Rattus norvegicus: one gene and its partners. The protein of the gene in region 1 interacts with the protein of each later gene in a pairwise test. Links are inferred from orthologs where the notes say so. Each region holds a gene or a part of one and is shown on either strand. Other genes may lie near its edges.

Evidence for each region.
Region 2: the proteins of Ssc5d (region 1) and Exoc7 interact in binary tests that used the Homo sapiens proteins (3 or more experiments, as listed by UniProt). The two-hybrid records come from large-scale screens. The link is inferred for Rattus norvegicus from reciprocal best matches to the Homo sapiens genes SSC5D and EXOC7.
Region 3: the proteins of Ssc5d (region 1) and Sec23ip interact in binary tests that used the Homo sapiens proteins (3 or more experiments, as listed by UniProt). The two-hybrid records come from large-scale screens. The link is inferred for Rattus norvegicus from reciprocal best matches to the Homo sapiens genes SSC5D and SEC23IP.
Region 4: the proteins of Ssc5d (region 1) and Necab2 interact in binary tests that used the Homo sapiens proteins (3 or more experiments, as listed by UniProt). The two-hybrid records come from large-scale screens. The link is inferred for Rattus norvegicus from reciprocal best matches to the Homo sapiens genes SSC5D and NECAB2.

The regions. Positions count from the first base shown.
Region 1 is NC_086019.1:77,935,775-77,940,051, reverse strand, and holds the start of Ssc5d (soluble scavenger receptor cysteine-rich domain-containing protein SSC5D precursor), read left to right. Parts: upstream 1-1,477; 5' UTR 1,478-1,600; coding exon 1,601-1,625; intron 1,626-2,129; coding exon 2,130-2,156; intron 2,157-2,621; coding exon 2,622-2,930; intron 2,931-3,189; coding exon 3,190-3,303; intron 3,304-3,530; coding exon 3,531-3,644; intron 3,645-4,001; coding exon 4,002-4,277. Other genes in the region: Nat14 (probable N-acetyltransferase 14), read left to right, coding at 1-88.
Region 2 is NC_086028.1:102,025,802-102,029,301, forward strand, and holds part of Exoc7 (exocyst complex component 7), read right to left. Parts: intron 3,302-3,500; coding exon of another isoform or gene 3,198-3,301; intron 2,531-3,197; coding exon of another isoform or gene 2,374-2,530; intron 1,204-2,373; coding exon 1,058-1,203; intron 850-1,057; coding exon 697-849; intron 298-696; coding exon 199-297; intron 1-198. UniProt on the Homo sapiens protein: Component of the exocyst complex involved in the docking of exocytic vesicles with fusion sites on the plasma membrane.
Region 3 is NC_086019.1:192,768,381-192,771,880, forward strand, and holds part of Sec23ip (SEC23-interacting protein), read left to right. Parts: intron 1-1,741; coding exon 1,742-1,831; intron 1,832-2,538; coding exon 2,539-2,680; intron 2,681-3,500. UniProt on the Homo sapiens protein: Plays a role in the organization of endoplasmic reticulum exit sites. Specifically binds to phosphatidylinositol 3-phosphate (PI(3)P), phosphatidylinositol 4-phosphate (PI(4)P) and phosphatidylinositol 5-phosphate (PI(5)P).
Region 4 is NC_086037.1:64,412,999-64,416,498, forward strand, and holds part of Necab2 (N-terminal EF-hand calcium-binding protein 2), read left to right. Parts: intron 1-1,969; coding exon 1,970-2,078; intron 2,079-3,500. UniProt on the Homo sapiens protein: May act as a signaling scaffold protein that senses intracellular calcium.

The DNA.
Region 1 (4,277 bases):
GTTATTGGAGGCCTGTGGCTACCAGGCAGAGGGAGGCTGGGGCTGCATGGGCTATATGCTGGTTAGGGAATTCAGCAAAGACCTGTGATTGGAGACTATGCCCATTGGGTAGATGGGCAGAGAACCAGCACCTAAAGAACACCTACTGTGTGCCGTGCACTTTACATCCCCTCCCGCAGTGTCCACCTAGTCTGCTGGGCTGATAGTGAGGCACCAAGGTTGATGGACTTACATGCTCACAGTGGACCTGCCAGATGCAATGGGGACTCTAAACTCAAATAGAACAAATTCCTTCTTGGTCTTCTGGGACCACTAGAAGTCGCCCTGTTCACTTCTCCCCCCCCCCAACCCCCAGCCCCAGTCTGTATGCACTGAAAAAACTTGTGGTTCTGGGTCTACAAAGCCCCTGTTGCGTGTATTTGAGGTCTGGAAGGGATATCTGGGGGGGGGGGAGAGAGAGAGAGAGAGAGAGAGAGAGAGAGAGACTGAGACTCTCAGAGTTAGAGTCTGACAGGGAACTCCCAAAGGGGACAGATCTTCTGGGAGTGGGTGGGACTGGGAGCATAGTGTCTCCAAGACCATCTGGTTTTTTACACTGTTTGTTAATAAATCCTGAAACTTCTGTGTGCCTGTCTCCTCTCTGATGCATTTTCCAGCTGCTCTCTCCAGACTCCCTCCTTCTGTCTGGCTCCTCCTCTCCAAAGTTGACATTAATTGCTAGAGAAGTTGGGGGGGGGGAGGCGCGTGCACTGTGCTGGGAAAAGGAGAAGCAGTGAGCTCACAGCGGCAGCCCAGTCTCTGCCAGGCCTTCTGAGTCATGCTCCCCATTACCAAAGTTTTTCCCTTTACAGCTGCCTGCTGTGTGTGTGTGTGTGTGTGTGTGTGTGTGTGTGTGTGTGTGTGTGTACACCCCCTCCAAACCGAGGCCTTGACCCCCTTGGTCTCTCTACCCTCCATACCTTTGTTCTAGGAACTGGTAAGTTGTAAGTTCAGACACTCCTTCCTCAAATAGGCACTGGGAGGTTCCCATCCAGATTTGCCACAGTGGGTGTCAAATGGAGAGAGAGGTTTTTCAGTTTCTCTTCTAGATCTAGGAAGTCCCTCCTAGTGTCTGGCTGCAGGCCCTCTTGCTACTGCAGGATTCCCCCAAATCTGTCCACTCCCGTTTACACTTACTTGCCTGGCTGGACAATAAGAGGAGGCAAAAGGGTGTGCCCTCAGCCCTGTCCCCCAGACACCCAGGCCTGCCCCTTCCCAGAACTGCCATCCCCAGAAGCATCTCTAAGCGCGTGGCCCTCTGGAGCTTGGCTGGCCGCCTCCCTCCAGTGTGGGTGTTTGCACTTGAACACCTCCCTTCTGCCTGCCCACCGCCCCCCCTCCTCCAGGCTCAGCTGTGGCCAGCCCCCTCCCCCTCCTGTCCCCTGCTGCATCCCTGCAGCCTCTCTCCCTCCTGGCAAAGCCTTCAGCCCAGCCTGCTCCTAGCTGTCCAGGGCGCCTCAGCAGCGGCTTCCCTCCCTCCTATCCTCCCTGGCTGCCTCCGCCTCCCCTCTCCTGCCCTCTTTCCCCTTTCACCCCATCCCCTGCCCTGGACTCTGCAAACATGAGGGTCTTGGCGTGTCTTCTTGGTGAGTGATCCATTCCCGTGGGGGGTGGGGCACCTTAGGGGCCTGGACCCTCACCTCTGACACTTTAGCTTCTCCAGTTCAGGGACTCATACTATAGGGAGCCTGTTCTGGTCCCTGGTGCTGTGTGATAGCCTGACATCTGGTCGGCCCCTCTAATCCCTCAGGGACCCAGCCTTCTGCTAGTCCTGCCTAGCAACTCAAGTGACCTGCCCTTTGTTGCCCCTGCATGCACTCTGTGGAGCTATCACTCCCACCATTCAATATGGTCCCCAGCCCTGTCTTCAAGGGTCAGGCATCCGGGGCCCCACCCACCCCAGGGACCTGTAACTTATCCCAGCCTCCACCCAAAGTCCATTCCAGCAATGGGGCTTCTGACTCAGAGGTATGAGGAATCTGTATGTGAATGATGCTTCCCACTGAACTGAAGCTGGAAGCCTGCACTGGGGAAAGGACCCCTCCCCTCTGATTTACCCTTCACTCTGTCCCTTCCAATCTCCTTTGCAGCAATGCTGGTGGGGATCCAGGCTATAGGTAAGTGTCCTGATTCTGCACTTGGCCTCACCCAGCTCTAAGCCTCCCCTCTCTCCTGCTGGTCCCTGCTGCCCAGATTCCACTCAGCTCCCCTGACAGTGCAGGCCATGGGTCCCCATCCAGCAGGGACACTGAGTCTTCTCTAGAGTTAGCTGCACGCTGACCTATGGGAGAGAAGCAAAGTTATGAGGACAGTGATGGGGGAGGAGTAGAAGGGCCATTTGACCCCTGGCAGAAGGACTTTGGATGCCCGAATTCCCTGGTTCAGTGTCCTTCCACACAGCCCCCAGCATCTCTGAGATACTCCTCTTATTTGCACCCAGGAGTCTGGGACCAGGGCCCAGCCTCCAGGGTAGCTGGATTCCTGATGGTAGCTTGTAACACACACCCCCCACCGCCACCCTTGGTGTCACCGTGCCTACAGTACTCCTGTCTGGAGTTACAGTTTTTTTCTTCACCCCTCAGAGCGACTCCGCCTGGCTGATGGCCCTCATGGCTGTGCAGGACGCCTGGAGGTCTGGTACAGCGGGCGCTGGGGCACCGTGTGTGATGACGGATGGGACCTTCGGGATGCTGCAGTGGCCTGCCGTGTGTTGGGCTGCGGAGGGGCGCTAGCCGCCCCCGGGGGTGCCTTCTTTGGGGAGGGCACTGGGCCCGTGTGGCTCAGTGAGCTGGCCTGTCGGGGCAGTGAGGGACAGCTGGGTATCTGTCCCCACCGGGGCTGGAAGGCTCATATCTGCTCTCACGAGGAGGACGCGGGCGTCGTCTGTGTAGGTAAAAAGATTCAAACTCCTCTTATGGTTCTGGCCCCAGGAACCCCCAAGCCCTTAGTTCCCACAGATCTGAGCTGTCTGGAAGCTGAGAGATAACCAATTCCAGATCTCATAAGGCCAGGTGCCCACCCCCAAAGACTGCCAGCTTATTTCTGAGCCCCAGGGAATTCAGGCATCCAAGGTCCTTCTGCCCCAGGGGTCAAATGGCCCTTCTACTCCTCCCCCATCACTGTCCTCATAACTTTGCTTCTCTCCCATAGGTCAGCGTGCAGCTAACTCTAGAGAAGACTCAGTGTCCCTGCTGGATGGGGACCCATGGCTGGCACTGTCTGGGGAGCTGAGCCCCAGCTCAGAGGAGCCCCCTATAACTCATGGTGAGCACAAAGGACTAGGCTTCCCATCCTGCACCCTGGTTGGACTCATCTATGGGGAAGGTCGTCACGCAGACGTTTTCCCAGCAAGCTGGTTTCCTTTGTTACCTAGAAATCCTCTGTCCAGAAATCTTTCAAACCCTCAGAAAAGAATCCCTAGACAGATGAAAGAAGTCAGGAAGGGTGGCCAGCTCAGATCCTGAGTTCCTGGTCACATGTCACTTTCCTAGCTCCCCAGCCGGCAGCAAGCTCCCAGAATGGCCCCCGAAAGAAGAACCCCCGGCCACCCAAGCAGGTCAAGTCCACCCGAGCCCCTGTACTGACAAATGGAGCTCCCCGCCAAGGTAAGTCTCTAAATCTCCCTTAGACAAGGTCCTGATCTGGGTGCTATGAGACCCTAGACCCGGCCAAACTGAGGATCCCAGACCTCCATTCAGCCAATGACTCTCCAAGGAGACCAACATTCATTGTTTCCTCCCTTCAGATCCAGTCAGGGCTGGCCACCCCCTCTTCTTGATCCTTCCTCTATGAGAACCAGAGGGATAGCAGTTTTCTTTTCTAAATTAGCCAATCGGCAGGCAAACCTCAGTCCTCTGCTATTTCTGGGCCTTAGCTTCCCCAGGTGAACAAACAAGAAGCTGCCCCTCCAAGCTGACATTAGCCTCATACGGTCTCCTGTCTTCCCTGTCTGCACCCCCCAGAGCGGCTGCGTCTGGTCTCAGGTCCCCATGGATGTGCCGGCCGCCTGGAAGTCTGGCACGGTGGACGTTGGGGTACTGTCTGCGATGATGGATGGGACCTCCGAGACGCAGCAGTGGCCTGTAGGGAGCTAGGATGTGGGGGAGCGCTGGCCGCCCCTGGAGGTGCCAGATTCGGACCTGGTGAGGGACCCGTGTGGATGGACGATGTCGGGTGTGGAGGAGGAGAGGAGGCCCTCCGGGACTGTCCCCGAAGCCCCTGGGGCCGGAGCAACTGTG
Region 2 (3,500 bases), on another chromosome or scaffold:
CTGTAAGGATGCCCCTCCGCCTCGGTCTGTACAAGACCAGGAAGTCAGCTGCAGAGGGCTGGGAAGAAACGAAGGTGCTCAAAGGGCCCCCCAGGGAACCAGTACTGCAGCAGCAGTTCTAAGACCGACTGACTCTGTTGAGGGCCTGCTCTCTGAGGAGTCCCCAGAGCTCACTGAAGGGGAAGGGGTTGCAGGCACCTTGATGTTATCCGCAAAGTCTTCTAGAGCTTTGGCCCCAATGGTCTCCATGGAGGTGATGAGGCCTGGCAGCTTGTTCTTCGTGCTGGCTGCTGTGCCCTGAGGAAGGACATGACTGAAACAGTCATCAGAGTCCAGTCACTGCCCTCTCCAGCAAGCCCTGAGTGTGGTATATCCTTCTAGGCCCTTCCCAACCCTTAGTCTGAAGGCTGGATTCTCCAGGTCAAGATTAACCACAGCTCTTCTGTTGCCTTGCAAGCATCCTGACTTGTCCAAAGCCCCTTGGGAGTCACTCATTAGAGCTCTAGGTGAGCATGGGCTAATTCCCCAGAAGGAGTAAAGGGACACCGTGGCATGTACCCGCGTGCGTGCATGTGTGCGTGCATGTGTCTGTCTGTCTTTGTCTGTTTGTCTGTGTGCCTGTGTGCCAGTATGTGTGAGTGTGTGACAGAGAGACAGACAGAGAGAGAGGCCCTTAGGACCTCCTGGCTCACATACCTGGAGCACCTGGTCAAACTCAGGCTTGGTCTGCTTGAGGTGTCGCAGGATGGGGAAGACGGTGAGCACGGTGGAGAAGTCATGGCGGATGATGGCTTTCCTGGCCGCGGACACTATGTTCTCCCCTTCAAGCATCAGCCCATCTAGGGCATCCTAGAGGAGGGACAAGGCCAGAGCTGGTTCCTGGGACAGTGAGTCACTTTGTGGGGCACGAAGGAAAGCCAGAGTGCTGTGAGGGATGGGGGAGGAGACTACATCCAATAGAGTTGAGGGCTTAGGGCAGCAGCCCCGCCCCACCCTCTAGATTCTGCAGTAAAAGTTACAGGGTCAGCGCAGAGCAGCGTGGCGGGAGGAGTGAGACCTGTATCAAGGAGTCGAAGGTTTTCTTCTGGTGATGCTCGGGAATGATGCCCATCAGCAGCTGGTATTCACTCTGTGCCAGCCTGACAAAGGCACTAACGCAGTGAATGTAGGCATCTGTCTCCACGTCCAGCATGTCATCTCTCCCTAGGGGACAGCAGTGACCCTGAGTGCTGGTCTGGGAGAGGCCACTCGCTCTACTTGGGGTATGAGTATCCCCAGCTCCTGGGCTGAGCCCAGACAGGCAGTAAACAGGAAAAGGAAGACACAAACAGGACAGGAAGCTATAAAGACTGTTCTGGCAGACCTGGGAGATCAGGAACTGAGTCCAGACCGTGTCCTGGTGCCACTGTCAGCTCTGCACAGGCAGCATTTAAGTCCCCAGATCAAACACTAGAGGTGGTGGCAGAAAGCGCCAAGGAAGGAAATTCCCAAACCAACTTCCTGGATAAGGTTGTCTGCCCAGGTCTGAGGATTCTGAACTGCTTCAAAGAGGGTGGTCCAGGAAAGGCAGGTGGCAGTGTTCATTTTAAGAAGGGGGTTGATGTGGTCTTCAACCTGGGAGATGTGGTTCCTACGAAGGTCATTACCAACTGCACCGGGCCCTGAAAGTGTGAGGGAGTGGTGGGCTCTGAGGCTAGCTGGCATGTGTACAGAGGAGAGCTAATTCCAGGGAGAATTAGCAGACCGAGTGTGATGTATAACTATGACCCCAATGCCCACCCACTGGGGGGTGATGACTGAGTTCGAGGCCAGCTTGAAGGACATAGCGAGGTTCTCCCTCAACAAAACAGAACAGTCTGAGAGGAGATAAGTGAGTCTCGGCGTCTCTTTGTCGAACAGCCCCAGGGAAGACAGCGTCCCTCTATTAGAAGTTGGACATGTAGGGGTTGGGGATTTGGCTCAGTGGTAGAGCGCTTGCCTACCAAGCGCAAGGCCCTGGGTTCGGTCCCCAGCTCCGAAAAAAAAAAAAAAAAAAAAAAAAAAGAAGTTGGACACGCATGCCAGGGTAGAACAGTCCGGTTTTATATGGCATGGGCAGGCTCCAAGAAGTGCAACATCCAGGTTCCTTGACCTCAGAGGAGCCACCTGTCCTCCTGCCTCCTTCCGAGCTCAGGCTGCAGCTGCTCCTCTAGCCAGGCCCCAGGAGCCAAGCATGCACTCCCATCTCATAAGAGGCAAGGAGACCTAGGCCCAAAGGAGCCTGGAGTGGGAGCTAGGCCACGGGACAGGCCCATCCTTCGACAGAGCAGGCCATCGGGGGCAGTACTTCCAAGGCAGTGTTTGGCTACCCTGGGGCTGGGCTACGGTACTCACCGGCCAGTGGCCCGTGCTTGTCATTCAGGGCCTCTGACAGGTGCTTAACTCGAAAATCATGCTCATGACCTAGCAAGATGTCGGCCACACAAACACAAGCAGCATTTATCCAGGGGCCAGGCAGCTGCCCCTTGGGTATGGGGACGAAACCCTTGATCTCCAGGAGCGGAGCGTGAAATGGGGCTAGGGAGGGGGCACTGAGGAGGGCTCTGAGCCCCTCCACCACCTCAGATGCCACTGGGAACAGCCTTTTCAAGCCTGATTCTTAAGGGGTCTCAGGACCATCCCTGGCTGTGTGTTTTCTGACCTAGGGAGACCAAGAGAAGGCACACAGCCCCAGGGAGACACAGTGAAAATGTCACTGCTGAGTGAATGAGGACAGCCTTCCTTTGTAAGAGGCTGGGTCCACCAGGTCTGCAGATCTACCTGTCCCTCCCTTCACAGGAGAGGAGGGACATGTCCCTCAGGCAGCCTGTCCCCTTAGCTACATGAAGTACTCTTTCTACAGAGGCAGGTAGCCAGGAGGCCCTGGCCAACTTGGTCCTGCCCTGCTGATCTGGGCGTGAAAGGGCTGCCCCAAGACAGTGTTCTCTGAGTTCACACAGGACACAAGGACAGGGACAGGGAGCAGGAGCCTTAGGAAGGGCAGAGCCAGGCAGGATCAGGGCCATGAAACTTGTCCTCGGGCCTGCTGAAGCCTGAGGAGCATCAGGGGTTTGCCGCTGCCACCCAGCCCCCTCAGGATCTGTCCCATGCTCTCCTGGGGGAGGCTCTGCCCTGCCCGACAAGTAAGCAGACACACAGTGGAAGAGGGGAAGGAGCACAGGGTGATTACCTTCCAGAGGAATGAGGTTAGAGCCCCCCTTTTTCCCATCTAGACCATGCTGGGAATACTGTTTCAGAAGGTTCTGAGCCTTACGGATCGTCCCTGTCACCAGAGCCACACAGAGAGGAGAGAGGAAGACCTAGGGAGTGAGCGAGAGAGAACAGCAGCGGCCCAACACCCACCCCGCCCTCGTCCACCCTCGCCCAACCAACAGCGAGCATGCCCCCTAACACCTCTGCCGGCAGGCCCTGCCAGGGTCACCAGACACCCTTGAGGACGGAGAGAAGAAAAGGTATTCAAA
Region 3 (3,500 bases), about 110 Mb from region 1:
TTTGCCTTATATTACAGAGATCTTCCTGCTTTAGCTTTCTAAGTGATGTGATTATTCTATGAGCTACCAAACTTGGCTTTTTGAAAGATTTATTACTATTTCTTCATTCATGTGTATGTGCAAATGCTTGAGGAAGCCAAAGGAAGGTATCATGTCTTCTGAAAGGGCAGGGAGGTATAGGCAATTGTGACCACATGACGTAGGTGCTAGAAACTAAAGTTGGGTCCTCTAGAAGGAGGAGTAAATGTTCTTAACTTCTGACCCATCTTGCCAGCAACCCTGTCCCCAACCTTTTTGAGACAGCCTTTCACTATGTAGTCAAAGTTGACCTACAGCAGTTCTTCTGTCTCAGCATCCCAAGAGCTGGCGTGACAGATGTATACCTCCACACTTGGTTTTCCTCTTTTCTGCCATTGAAGAACATATTTTATTTTGATACTAGACATTTCATTGTCTAATAAGATAAGATAAATAGGTGTTATGAGATCCGGATGAAATAGTGTAGGAAAATAGATTGAACTTTGAGATATATCTTGTCTTGTTACCGGTCTGTTATTATGATGAGACACCAAGACCAAGGCAACTCTTAGAAAAGGAAGCATTTAATTGGGGGGCTTGCTTTCAATTTTTACTATTATCATGGTAGGAAACATGGCAGCAGGCAGGCGTGCAAGCAAGCAGGCATGGGGCTGGAGAAAGAGCTGAGAGCTTTAGATTCTGTTCTGAAGGCAAAGAGAGTGACTGGGCCTGGTTTATGCTTTTGAAACATCAAAGCCCACTTCATGACATAACCCCTCTAAGGCCACACCTCCCAGTCCTTCCCAAACAGTTCCATTCCCTAGCGACTAAGCATTCATATATGAGCCTATGGTGTCCATTCTTACTCAACCATACTCCTATTGGTTTTTGTTCTGTTTGGAGATAGGGTTACAGTGTATAGCTCTGATTGGCCTGGAACTTGCTTTGTAGACCATGCTAGCCTCCAGCTCACAGAGATTTACCTGCCTCTCTCTCCAGAGGGAGGTCCCAGGACCTTGGCTGGCTGTCTTAGAATGCTTTTGAATTAAGGGGAGGGACTTTGGGAATAAAGACTTTAAAGTTTTATATTGTCAGATTGTGTGTCCATGTTGGGCTTAGAGTTCTATGAAGGATGTTTGGTTTTGCTTGTTTGTTTGGTGTAGGGGATTGAGCTCAGGGCCATGTACACACTTTATTCCACACAGCTACAGTTTCATCCCAGTTATGTGGAGTTCTGAAAAAAAAAAATATACATTATGAGGGTCAGTAGGTCTGTGAAGAACTGATGTTTTCTTTTCTTTTTTTTTTTAAAGATTTATTCATTTATTTATATAAGTACACTGTAGCTGTCTTCAGACACACCAGAAGAGGGCATCAAATCTCTTTACAGATGGTTGTGAGCCACCATGTGGCTGCTGGGAATTGAATTCAGGACCTCTGGAAGAGTAGTCGGGTGCTCTTAACCGCTGAGCCATCTCTCCAGCCTGAACTGATGTTTTCTTAACCTCTCCATTTAGTGTGCCATTATTTGCCAAACTAGACAAATTATTCTAATTTAATATGAGGAAATGAGAGATATTTGCTTGGGAGGGTAATGGATTTCTTTGACTAGTTTATGATAATAAGAATATCAAGAATTTAGCAATTTAATTAACAATACCAAGTACTCAGCTTTGTGTATATGTGTGTTTTATGATAATGATAATTTATTTGTTTTTACCAGGGGAAATGCCTCAAGTTGACCATTTGGTGTTCATGGTGCATGGCATTGGGCCAGTGTGTGACTTGCGCTTTAGAAGCATTATTGAATGTGGTAAGTGCACGCCACATCTTGGTTTATAGACACCTCCGATTGCTGGTAGAGGGGCTCTTTAGTGTTCATTGTTATGGTAGTTGCTAGCTATGTACTTGTGGCTGGGGACTGTGAGTGGAGATTTCTGTGGTCAATAGGAAGTATTGATCTGTGTTTGATCTGCTCTTATTGCATACACTCCTGGATTCTGAAGAATTAGAAGGCATCTGGGTAATGATTTCACCGTTTTGGCCAACAGCCAACCTGGCTGAGCCCTCGGAGCAGCATAGAGCTCCTGTGTACTGAGCTGCTACAGAGGGAGTCCTCCGAGAAGCTGCTTAGGGCTTTGTCTGTAGTAACTGTCTGAGCTTACTGAGGACTCAGTGCTCCCAGCACGTGTGTTGTCCTCAGCCTCTCAGATACACCTTCAGGTGTGGGTGTGTCACTGCTACTGCCAGTGCTAGGAGAGGAGAGGCCCTGGCTGAGTTAGTGTGCCAGGGTCACGTCGGTTCTGGAACCTGGTGCTGAGGAGGGAGTTTGAGGAAGTTAAACTAAGTTTTTTAAGGCCTTAAATACAATATAACTTAAGACGTACTTCTGATCAGTCAGTGTTTGTTCATTTACTATTTTTTCATCTTTTTAAAAACATCTATCTTTTTGTAAAAAGCCAGCAGATTTTAGTTAATTAGCTACAATGGTAAGATAATTTACTCTTTTTTTTTTTAAAGTGGATGATTTTAGGGTGGTTTCTCTCAAGTTGCTGCAGACACACTTCAAGAAGTCTGTAGATGAAGGGAAAGTCAGCAGAGTGGAGTTCCTGCCAGTTCACTGGCACAGCGCCTTGGGTGGGCACGCCACGGGTGTTGACAGGTTTGTAGATTTTGATGACTTGTTTTTCACAGTAGCTGAAATTAGAGGCAAGTTTAAATTGTAATACAAAATGGCTTATTCCAACATAGGCAAATAACAGCCTTTTACTATCTCACTGTTCCTGTGTATTCCTAGTGTAAATATTTAAGGATCTAGGAAATTTTAGACAGTTTGTTTTGGATGCTGGAAATTGAACTCAGATTCCCGGATGTGATGAATACACCCTAATGTTCTGAGGCTGGCTTTAAAACAGCTGAGCTGCTATGGGTTAGGGGGCTGTGGAGAATGTTCTAGAATGCCCAGCAGCACCCTTGTCTAGTTGACAGTCAAACAGATCTTCTCCATGTGATAGCAAGCATGCTCAGATTGTGTCGAATTTCCTCATGCGGTGAAAATCACCCCTCTTTGAGACTTATATTTTTAGTTTCTTGGTGGGGAATACATAAAATTATTAAACTGTAGGCCATTTACTGATGCCACTGAATGTTAACAGCATTTACCAGGCACTGTGGCAGAAATTCCCCCCTTCAGCTTTGGATGCGCCCGTTTCAAAGCCACAGGTCCAGACAGTATTTATGCTGCCACACACGGCTGATAGCATGTTTGTAGCTGCTGACATTGTGATGTGATGGGGCCCGTGCTTTCTGAAGCTAATCCTGCAGACCGTGTTCTGGCCGCATTGTGCTGTGCTGTGAGGTGCTCCCTTCCCTCTGTGAACGCTCACAAGCTGCCCTTAGAGAATTTTTATTTCTGGTAACTTCTTTCATATTGTAAGTGTGACAGCCTCTTATCTCTGCCTGCCACAGTTTTGTCAGGCATC
Region 4 (3,500 bases), on another chromosome or scaffold:
CTGTCCTGGTGCTTCATGGGAAACAGCTAGGGGTGGGAACATGGACGACTATGGACCTGAGGGTGAAGAGTGCAAGAAATCCAGAGGCTAAGTGCTGTCACTGCTCTGTGCCTCGGTTTCCCCTTCTGTAAGCTGACGTGGTAACAGCTGTCCTGTGTTGCCCTGAGCTTTGGGGTGAGGTAAAGAGATGTACGTGGGTGACCTACAACACTGCAGAAGAGAACCCTTGCCTGTCACCTGCCCTGAGGCCCTTCCCAAGTGGGTTTTAATTCAAGGTGGCTCCGGCCTTGTCCACCTCCTCTGCCCTTCCTAGGAGCTGTTGTTAACTGTCCCACGTGGTTGTGGGTTGGGATGGAGCTCTTTGGGATCTGGAAGGACAGGGGGACAGGCTTGGGCTAGGATCATTATAGAGGAGTGTTGCCCTCTTGGGCCTGTCCCAGGGATGGTATGCATCTTCCCAGGCCTTGGGGACCACCTGCAGATTCCACACACAACACAGGGATGTAGGGTACCAAAGGTGTGGTAGCACTGTGCAGAGCCTATACTACCCAGGGAAAGAGGCCTGGCCCCTGCCCCCCACACAGGTCACAGGAGTGTCAGCTTGGAGCCTTAGACTGCACCCTCCTGACCCCCACCACTCCCACAGGTTGGGTGATTGAACTTGTCTTCTCCGTTGAGGCCATTGTGCCCAAAGCACAGGAGGGCCTCTGTGCCAATGCATACATCTGCCAATGTATGCAAGATGCCTTCCATTATGAGAACAAGGCTGAGTGTCTCTGGGAGGCTCTCATGATTGACTAGCTTGGATGTGGTAGACACGGGGTAGCTAATCCCCAAGGGAAGGCTAGTGTGAGAGGCCTGGGTATCACCCTCAAAGACTGGCATTGTTGTTCAGCAGAAGGGTGAGGACCAGCCAGCCCTTCCATCCAAGGATGTGAGGCTCACAGGTTCCTGCTATTTGAAAGGTCATTGCTGCAGGCTGGGCTCCTGCTCATTAGTAGCACCACCTGCAAACAGCCCCACTTGGGTCATTGGCAGAGGTGATGAAACTGCAGGACAACTTGTCTTCTCTAATTGGACCAGAGGCCAAGTGGAGGATATTTTCCTCTTAATAGCTCATCTGTGCTCATTAGGCCTGTGACTAGCACCCAAGGTAAATGTCAGAGGATCTGCAGGCCCTGTCTTCCAGCTTCCTGTTCTCTCTGGGTACAGAGGACACTGAGGTACCATCCATGATAAGCAGGTGGAAACAGTCAAGAGGGAAGCCTGGCCTGGTGTTAGCACACCCCATGCTGTGCCCGGGACAGACATGACTAATCAATTACAGCACACATTCATTGAATCTAGCATTGGCTTCAGCTTTTCCATGCAGCCCAGCTACGCCATGAAATATGGAGCCACTGACTACCCCTCACCCAAAAGGTGGGGGACTGTGCTGTTACCTACCATGTGGCACAAAGTCCTGCTCTAGGGTAGGTTGAAGGTCTGAGCTCAGCCTGCTGTTGCCTTGAGGAAGGACGGAATAGAAGGACTATCTTCAGACTGCTTCAGAGCTGGGACCTGGGGCTTGGATTGAGCATGATCCCTGATAGGCTAGTGGTATCAGGTTAAGCATGTTGCTTAAATAATGTCTATGTAAGGGGGCTGGGGATTTAGCTCAGTGGTAGAGCGCTTACCTAGGAAGCGCAAGGCCCTGGGTTCGGTCCCCAGCTCCGAAAAAAAGAACCAAAAAAAAAAAAAATAATGTCTATGTCAGATGACTGAGGGGAGAGCAGAAGGGGTGATTGCCTGATAGAGCATGAAGGTATCTGCTCCCCAGAAACCAGTTGTCTCCGATGGTTTGGGATTACCTGTCAGTAGGCCTCAGGCTGACAACAGGGAGTTTGTCAGCTGAGGACAGGCTGTAGGCTACCATGCGCTCTCTTCTCTGAGACAAGCAGTCACTTGTTTCCTTGCCTGTCCATTGCAGACGACGGGAAACTGTCCCTTGAGGAATTTCAACTGTTCTTCGCGGATGGCGTCCTCAATGAGAAGGAGCTGGAGGGCCTCTTCCACACCATTGATTCAGACAACACCAAGTGAGCCTGGGCTACTGTGGGGCACCCTGGGATGTGTGGGCTCCTCCCTTCTTCACAGTGCCAAGGTCCTGTTTAAGGGCAAGAGGCCTAGAACTCCCCTGACTCAATAATTCAAAAGTCAGACTTACTTGATCCTCGCTGCCAAGCTGCCTGAGCCCCGTGTGTGTGTGTGTGTGTGTGTGTGTGTGTCCCACAAAGTTTGTCTTTTCTGAGCGACCTTGGCCAAACGGGGAGAGACCCTGGGCCTGCTGCAGTATACGCAGGACTGATGGGAAGTTGGCTGTGGCCCTGCCTGCTATCTCTCCATTCAGTTCTAATCCCAGCGTGACCTCAGACACCGCTTTCCCTGTGAACCACCATCCCAAACCACCCTACAGTGTCTATGAATCCCAACTCTAGCCTGAACTCCACTTCTGTCTTTTTTTTTTTTTTTCTGGAGCTGGGGACTGAACCCAGGGCCTTGAGCTTGCTAGACAAGCGCTCTGCCACTGAGCTAAATCCCCAACCCCTGTGAATTCCACTTCTGACCTTGGAACAAAATGAACTTGTTTCTGTAACCCACTAAGAACTTGGACCTGTGACTCAGCCTCCCAGGACACCTGGCGTCCAGAGCCAGCATAAGTGTGCAGTGTCCTTCACTCATCTTTGTCTGATGCCCCTGAATTCTGCCTGGGTGGGCAACAGCCACCTGGTCACCTTCCTCTGCCCCACTGAGGTGCTGAGGACTAAAGTTTCTAGGGGTGCTAGGGCAGGTGGGATCACTTGGGGGGCCCAGAGCCTAGCGGTGATGTAGGTACATGGTTACTACCGGGCCACTTTGCAGTTTGCTTGTAAAGTGGTAGCCAGGAACTGAGGCTGGAGACCTGACAGGGTGTAATTTTCTGAGGATGTCTTTTGGTTCTCATAGTAGAGCAGGGCTCTCTGTGTCCAGGCCATCTGAGGTCTTAGCTTCTCTGCAGCCTCTTGGGCACACATTCTTGGGATGCAGAGGCAAGCGGACCTCTGAGTTCAAGGCCAGCCTGAGTGAGTTCCAGGACAGCCAGGGCTACACAGAGAAACCCTGTCTCAAAAAACAAACAAACAAACAAACAAACAAAAAGATCCAAAGAGGTTGCCCTGAAGGATGGGGTGGGGTTGGGGGATCTATCCCTATAGGGAAGGTCACAATTCTGAAGACATTCTGGATTCTTGACTCCAGTATTCCCTGAAGTAGACATAAGAAGCAACATTTCCGGTTGTCTGAGGCACTCCAAGGCAGTCGCCGGCCTTGGAATCTACAGACAACCTTTTCTCAGATGGGCATGGCATCTACCAAAAGCAGTCCTGAGCCAGGGTAGAGGCTAGGCCCAGAGAGGAGGCATCAGACCCCACACAGACCCTGCTGGTCCCTCTGCTGCAGCTTCTGGTGCTGATGCCTTCACG